Danio rerio: one gene and its partner. The protein of the gene in region 1 interacts with the protein of each later gene in a biochemical or structural test. Links are inferred from orthologs where the notes say so. Each region holds a gene or a part of one and is shown in the gene's direction. Other genes may lie near its edges.

Region 1 (3,500 bases):
TCAAATAGACGGTGCTTTATTTTCAATTTTACCTCAATACTGTTCGGATTTCCAGAAAACCAAGTGGAAATCAAGTGGAAAATAACACACTAGTCTTAATTGTAATAACAACTATATCTCCTAAATATATGTGTTCTTTAATAAACATTACATTTTGGGCAGGATGATTCTTGTGTAGACCTAATACTGACATTTAATGTCTTCTTCACATCAGCATCCACTAGGAAGGTGTATGAGAAGCGGCTTCAGAAGCTGCTGGATCAGGGTCCTCCTGTAGCTGTGGCTCTTCCCTCAGAGACGTCACAGACTGATGGCAATCAGAATGGCAACAATGATTCAGACCAGTACAGCGACAGGGAGGAAGGTAACACATTACCAAATACCTAAAAAAAAAAAAATCTGACATTGTACTATTTTATTCTCTTGCGATTTTTATATTTCTATGTGAATACAATTTTTTCTGACATAAAGCTCTACTTGGAATAAAATCATTACCTTTGATTGGAATAATCTTGCAGAGGAGTGAATCAAAGAAATTGCAAGAATGAATATTTAAGATAGAACAAAGACCAAAGTGAAATAATAGTCCGATATTCAGGTACCGTATTACACTACGATATCATCATGATATATTGCCCCTGATAATGACAGGTCACCATATTAGTGATGTATCGCAAGAAAACCATCCACAATATATCATATTTGTAAATCAAGAGGGATAAATGCATTAAAGTCATAAGATATACTACTTTTATTAACATCACATATATTTCTTAGAATTGCAACATTTGATATGAGGTTCAATCTGCCATTTATAGAATAGCCACCTTATGTATATCGCTATTTTGTCCTGCCCCATTTATTGAGTAATCAAATGTAAAATTAACTGTTTTTTTTAACCTACAGTGTATAACATATCTGCTTCTGTATTTTGTAATTCGTGATGTGGATAATTCAGCTCTACAGTTCAAAAAAGTGACTTATTGATGTTTTAGTAGTTTGAAAAAATATGTTTAAGAAATAATAATATGGAAAGAAAAAATAGTGTAAAATAATAAAATGTACTGGCAGATTTTGTACCGTTATGCAACACCAACACCATATATCACTTTAAACTATTAAAATAAAAGTCTCTTTTTAAAACTTTTCAAGGTTAAAAGTTGTTGGAGGAATGATCAAGGTCTCATGATGCAATAAAATACATAAAACAAATATAGAAAACTACTAATTTAAGGATATTTCATTACTGCGTATATATTAATTCAAACAGTTCAATGTAATGCAACTTGTTTGTTTTAATGTTTTTATTAAATGTATTATATTTGTATTATTCATAAAATATTTTTGCTATGACGATATTGTCAAATAAGCTGGCGTTATAATAAATAAATAAGATGCAATAGTATGAACTTGTTTAACTTCGTCTTGCATGTCTGTTAGAACCCGTAGCTCCGGCCCCCGTGACTGTGCCTGAACCAGAAGTGGAGGCTGAACTGATCCCTGTTGTGGAGAGACCAGTCAGGAGTCGAGGGAAAACACCAGTGACCAGCAGGACACGCAGTGGGCAACACACTAGGGTAAGGATGAAATTGGTGCATTCATTCTTTCCCTTTTCCAGGTGTTTTAAATGTTATTACATCACGTTTGCATCATGTGCAAGGTGCTTCCATACTATGAACGAATAAACCCATGTTACGTGACTCGATATGAGCAAGTGGAAAATTAAGCATGTGAAAAGGATGTGGGTGGCAAGAGAAGGATTGCTTTGTTGTACTTGATAAAAACATCCCATAAAGTTCACATGTTAGGTCATGTTAGGGTATGCGGTGAGTAAGTACATGAGCCAAGTCAAATACATGAATGTTTAATCCCGTTTACACTTGTTTAGTGTTTTATCATTTTAATTTTCTTATCTTGCATCCTGTTTTTTTTTTACGTAAAAACTTGCTTTTCCACTAAATGACTTGGCAAGTTTGTCATTGTTTCAACACACCTGTTTTTGTTATTTTGTATCATGTAATGCATACTTTTTTACTGAGAAATTCCTCATTTATGTCCTGTACAAATAATTACTTACAAAATTCACAGAATTAGAGGGTTGTGAAAGTTTACATGCAGATATTTTTAAAAACAGTAACTGAAATTGTTTCCGAACACTCCAAAATATCCAGTTAGTTTATTTTCCATTTAATGAATCTGCTGGTTGGTTGCAATCAAGCAAGTAAGTGTGTAATGTAAGTGGTCTCATTTCAGTTGATTAATTCGAACTGTTCTTAAAAAGAAGTTTCAGACTGTGTGGTAAATGAAACAAAATCCCCAGACTGTAGATATGAGGGCCCACTTGATTTTAATTACAGCTAGCAGCTCTCCTCATTTCATATCCCTTGTCTGTTTTTTTTTTTTTTTTTACTTCGGCTTTAAGTTGACCCAGACTTTAATCCTCTTTTATTTATCTTCTTATTCCTTCCCTTCTTTCCTTCAGACATGCGTAGCTTTCTCATTGCTGTGTGACTTTACTCAGTTCTGCATATCTGAAACTTTTCTGTTTAGGCTTCTTGTAAACCTCTAGCTGAGAGGATTCTGTTATCAAAGACTTTTAAAACTTTTATAAAGTTCACACAGTATCACTACATGCCTCCACCCTTTACTGGACAAAAAAGAAAAGAAGACCATTTTCTCTCCAATATAAATAATTCCTTTTTCTTTTTTAACCCCATCCAACCTGAATATATTCCCAGCTTTTTCTTTTATGAGTACTGCAGCACCACCTGCTGTAGAAAAGACCTGACGTTCTTCAGGCTGTCACATGACTATAATATGTGCACATTGTGTATTAATGTTTCCATTCTGGATTTGAAAACAATAATGTAACAATATCATCAAAATAACAATATTACGGTTTCATGGTATTGTGATTATTGCTCTAAAATATATTCTTTTTTTTTTTTTTTTAAAAAAACTTCAAATATTTCGGAGCAGTAAACATGTCAGGCTGAATAATTCAAATGAATCAATGACTTCTGCTGTCATTCATTAGTTTCAAAAACACAAACTATTTCTATTCCAAACGGCGGTACACTTTGTCCCATGTCTATTTGCAACGAAATCTTATTGTAACTGGTTAGCAACTTGTATCTTGACTATTTTTGAATGTTTTAACCATGGTATTGTTAATGCATTTATTGAATTTATTGTATGTTTTATAATCGCAGAACTGCGAGGAAAAAAAACTTCTGTTTAGGTTACACAAACACTTTTGAAGAGGAAAAATATAAATTTATAATATAAATGGAACTCATTTTAAATGAATCGAGTTGAATTACATTTCTTTTAGTTTATTCTTGATTGTTCAGTCCAGGGGTGTCCCTGGAGGGCCGCAGCTTTGCACAGTTTAGTTCCAACCCTACTCCAACACACGTAAGGTGCGGTCACACTGGGCTTTTCCTCCCATAGACTTCTATTCATACACACACAAATGCGTCAGACTGGAAGCGTGGGGT
Region 2 (3,994 bases), on another chromosome or scaffold:
CAGCCAAATGTTGTACAGCTTTTCTACAGGAAGTCTTGGCTGGTTTGATGTTGACCCATTGTAATTTTTTCCCTCTCTGAATACTTTGCAAGCTTTTGACACATTACATTCTTGGATAACAATAAATAAATGTTCAAGTATGAATGCACTTTCAGTTGAATACTTAATATGCCGAGAAACATGTTACGTTGTGAATGCTGTACAGTTACAGTAATGTGGTACATGCTTTAATTTTAATTGTACTAGTTAATGTCAGTAATGGTTTAAATTGGTTTTAATTTAGTTTAAGTTTAGTTGTAGTCGTATGTTGCACATCTGTTTTGATTTATTAAACTGATGTTTCAGTTTATACACGAAGGCAAGCGATGCGTATTGTGATACATTTATTTTTGTAGTTATTCTTGTTTCCAGTTTCTACATGCGCGCGCGCGCGCACACACACACACACATCTCTCTCTCTCTCTCTCTCTCTCTCTCTCTCTATATATATATATATATTTAAATATTTCCCAAATAATGTTTAGCAGAGCAAGGAAATTTTCACAGTATGTCAGATATTTTTTTTTCTGGAGAGTATTTATTTAATTTCGGCCAGAATAACATCAGTTTAAATATTTTAAAAAGCCATTTTAAGGTCAAAATTATTAGCCCCTTCAAGCTGATTTTATCCCGATAGTCTACAGAACAAACCATCGTTTTATAATAACTTGCCTAATTACCCTAACCTGTCGAGTTAACCTAATTAACTTAGTTAAGCCTTTAAATGTCACTTTAAGCTGTATAGAAATTTAAGCTAAAGAAAAATATCTAATATTTACTGTCATTATGGCAAAAATAAAATTAATCAGTTATTAGAGATGAGTTATTAAAACAATTATGTTTGGAAAAATGTGTTGGAAAAAAAATCGTTATTTTTTTTTTCTTCTTTTCTAACATCTCAATTCTGTTTTGTTGTTGATTACAGTTATCGACCAAAATCATCGCGTAAAATGTAGTCTGACTACATTGGATTGTTACTTTGTTTATATTCATTATAACAAGAGCGAAGGGCACGTGCATATTAAATGATACTTTCAGCGCGTATTTGTGTGCTGTTTGAATTTTGTCTCAACTGCACCGTTGACCGTCTGATGACGTGGAGGTTGCTGATTGAGCGTATGTGGTCACATGTCAGCGTGGTTCTGATGAGCGGCCATATTAGTTCAGTTCATTCTTTCATGCCACTGGACTCACAGTAAGACACCTAAACATTTATTTTATATTTCACATTAATACTAATGTAGGATACAGTAGTGTCTAGAAGATCACTTTTAGGGTTACACTTTGTTAGGTGTTTTGTTTTTATACTTTACCACAAGGTAAATCGTTTTTGTCGTATTCGTAGTCATTAGCGTTGATTCATTTGATTAGATGTTTGCTATTCACGTTAAATCCTCATCTGGTGGTTATTTAGTCGAAGAATGACCAGACATTTATAATTCACAGTGAATCTTGTTTTACTCATAATTCAGCTGAAGAATGGCGAGCGCGGCGTGTACTCCGGCCGGGCAGCAGTCGTTGTCCCGCGGCACCAGCAGCACTCCACTGAGCCCCGCGCGGATCTCCAGGCTGCAAGAGAAAGAGGAGCTGCAGCAGCTCAATGACCGGCTTGCCGCCTACATCGACACAGTCCGTAGTCTGGAGTCCGAGAACAGCGTCCTGCAAATACAGATCAGAGAACGAGAGGATGTGCGGAACCGCGAGCTCACGGGGCTCAGAACACTCTACGAAACCGAGCTGGCGGACGCACGGAAGGCGCTTGATGACACGGCACGGGAGCGCGCACGATTGCAGATTGAACTGGGCAAGATTAAAAGCGAGCAAGAGCAGCTACAGCACACGTGAGTAATTTAAAAATATAAAGTTTTTTTTTTTTTATCCAGAGCAGATTTTTAGAATTATTTAGAAACTATTACAAGCAGCTTCCGCTGACCTATCACTGCTACATGCATAACAACTGGCTATGTGTTACCATTAGTTGAGAGAATAATTTTTTTAATTTGATCACTTAAATAAAAAATGTATACCCCATTCCTGGCCTTTTAGAGTTTTTTGTTTAGAGTTTTTCAGCTTTCTACATTGGAAATCTCAGTTGTTAGCCCAAAGCTTGCCATCATATAGGACCTGTCAGCTGTCCTTTTCTAACTAGGGATTTGAGTAGATGTGTGATGAATTGGTCTCACACTAACCAGTTTTATTGCCATGCACATTGGGAGACCGTATTGCACATTTTAGACTAATTTATTCATCAGAGTTGTGACCTGCATTTGTTGCTTGATTGACAGGAGCAGCAGTCGTTAGTGTTGTTTCAGTGCTTTACACTGAACAGTCTTATTGGTGTAGAGCAGCTGGAAGATGTGAATGTTCAGCAGCTGCTTTAGAGTTTCAGTGTGAATCGGCTCTTTGTATGTCTTCTAATGTGAGTAACAAATGTTTTGATATTCTGTTATAGAGTCAGTTAAAGTCAGAATAAGTCATTCTGAAAATGAGAGTTGACATGTCTTTCCGAACCCACTGTCTCAAAACCCAACAAGTCATCTTCTGAATTCATGTAGAAGTTTGATCAGTGATTTTACACCAGGGGTGCCCAAACTCTGTTTTGATCCTGGAGCGCCAGTGTCCTGCGTAGTTTAGCTCCATCTTCCTTCAACATGCATGCTTGAAAGCTTCTAGTATACCTAGAAAGAGCTTGATTAGCCAATGCAGACGTGAATGAAAATGATTTGTCATGTTAAGCAATAACTTCTCTTCCAAATACTTTTTTGATTGAACCTTGATTCATTCACCTCTTGAATATACAAAATCTCTTTAGATTTCATGAAAAGAAAATGTATTTGTTATTCTAAAAATGAAAGGAAAGACTTTTGCTTGTGGTGATATAAGGGTCTGTAGATGACTGTTTTTTTTTAAGATTAAATAAACCTTCCATTCAAAATTAGAAAGAAAAAGCTTATGGTTGGACCGATCATGTCTTCTAGCCAGTCTCGGCTGTGTGTGAGACATTCCACACATTCCAGCAGCATTCTGCAGATTTTAAGTTCACCTCAAGAGAAAGAGCTTTGGAGATTACAGAAGCACGAATAATAAACTTGAAAGTATCTTGATTATTAGCTTCCTAATCATGATCAAGTTAAGTTAGTTCAAGACCAAACCATCAACAGACCAGCCTGGCTCAAACCTCCAACCTCAAGCCATGAAGCCAGGTTCATCCCCAAAATTATATTAGCAGGACTGGAAAGTAGAAACAAGCATGATGACAATAGAGATGGGAAAATTGGTTTTCTGTTTCTGGATTAGAGACTCCTGCATTGATGTTTTAGTGTAAAAATATTAATTGAATAGATTTCTGGTTTTAAGAGTGCAGTCCGTGCAACTTCAGTCATGTTAAACTAATATTTATGTTGTTGTTTTTTTCCACAAATATGACATCTTTATTCAGTTGCATCTGTGTTAATTATCAAACTGCACAATACACCCTTATAGGGCTTTTAGTCCAAAAGTATGCACAATGATTTTTTTACAAAAGAAAATGCATTTATCTATTTAATTTACTTAAACTAAGAAATCTAAAGAGATTTCAGTTCCTCCTCCATCTTCCCTTGTACTGTTATGCTTTCTGCCAGTGCAATGTGGTAGACCCTAGATTAAAAACCGGAGTAATGCTTCATATCGATATCAAGAAGTTCTTTGATGCACTCAAGAAGTAGTTAACCCCCTTTTAAACTAAAGTTATTGGTCTTGAAGGGGCACACTCGAGAACCTGAATGGATGGTTGAAATGTGGCTATTCTTGGTAAACTTTTTGGATGTTTCAAGTAAAATGTTAATTTGATTTGGGTATATATATATTTTTAAGCCACTTACAAATATGTCTTCTAAATTTAAAATGACAGCGTGCATTTGCAGAAAGTGATAGTAGGTCAATATAAAATATATATTATTTTAACATGATTAAA

What was found. The genes of interacting proteins can lie anywhere in the genome.
Region 2: the proteins of tmpoa (region 1) and lmnb1 form a complex in vitro, tested with the Homo sapiens proteins (2 studies listed by BioGRID). The link is inferred for Danio rerio from reciprocal best matches to the Homo sapiens genes TMPO and LMNB1.

The regions. Positions count from the first base shown.
Region 1 is NC_133179.1:17,454,669-17,458,168, reverse strand, and holds part of tmpoa (thymopoietin a), read left to right. Parts: intron 1-214; coding exon 215-364; intron 365-1,440; coding exon 1,441-1,577; intron 1,578-3,500. UniProt on the Homo sapiens protein: May help direct the assembly of the nuclear lamina and thereby help maintain the structural organization of the nuclear envelope. Possible receptor for attachment of lamin filaments to the inner nuclear membrane.
Region 2 is NC_133185.1:18,316,619-18,320,612, forward strand, and holds the start of lmnb1 (lamin-B1), read left to right. Parts: upstream 1-1,194; 5' UTR 1,195-1,234; exon of another isoform or gene 1,235-1,358; intron 1,359-1,485; exon of another isoform or gene 1,486-1,511; 5' UTR 1,512-1,518; coding exon 1,519-1,880; intron 1,881-3,994. UniProt on the Homo sapiens protein: Lamins are intermediate filament proteins that assemble into a filamentous meshwork, and which constitute the major components of the nuclear lamina, a fibrous layer on the nucleoplasmic side of the inner nuclear membrane.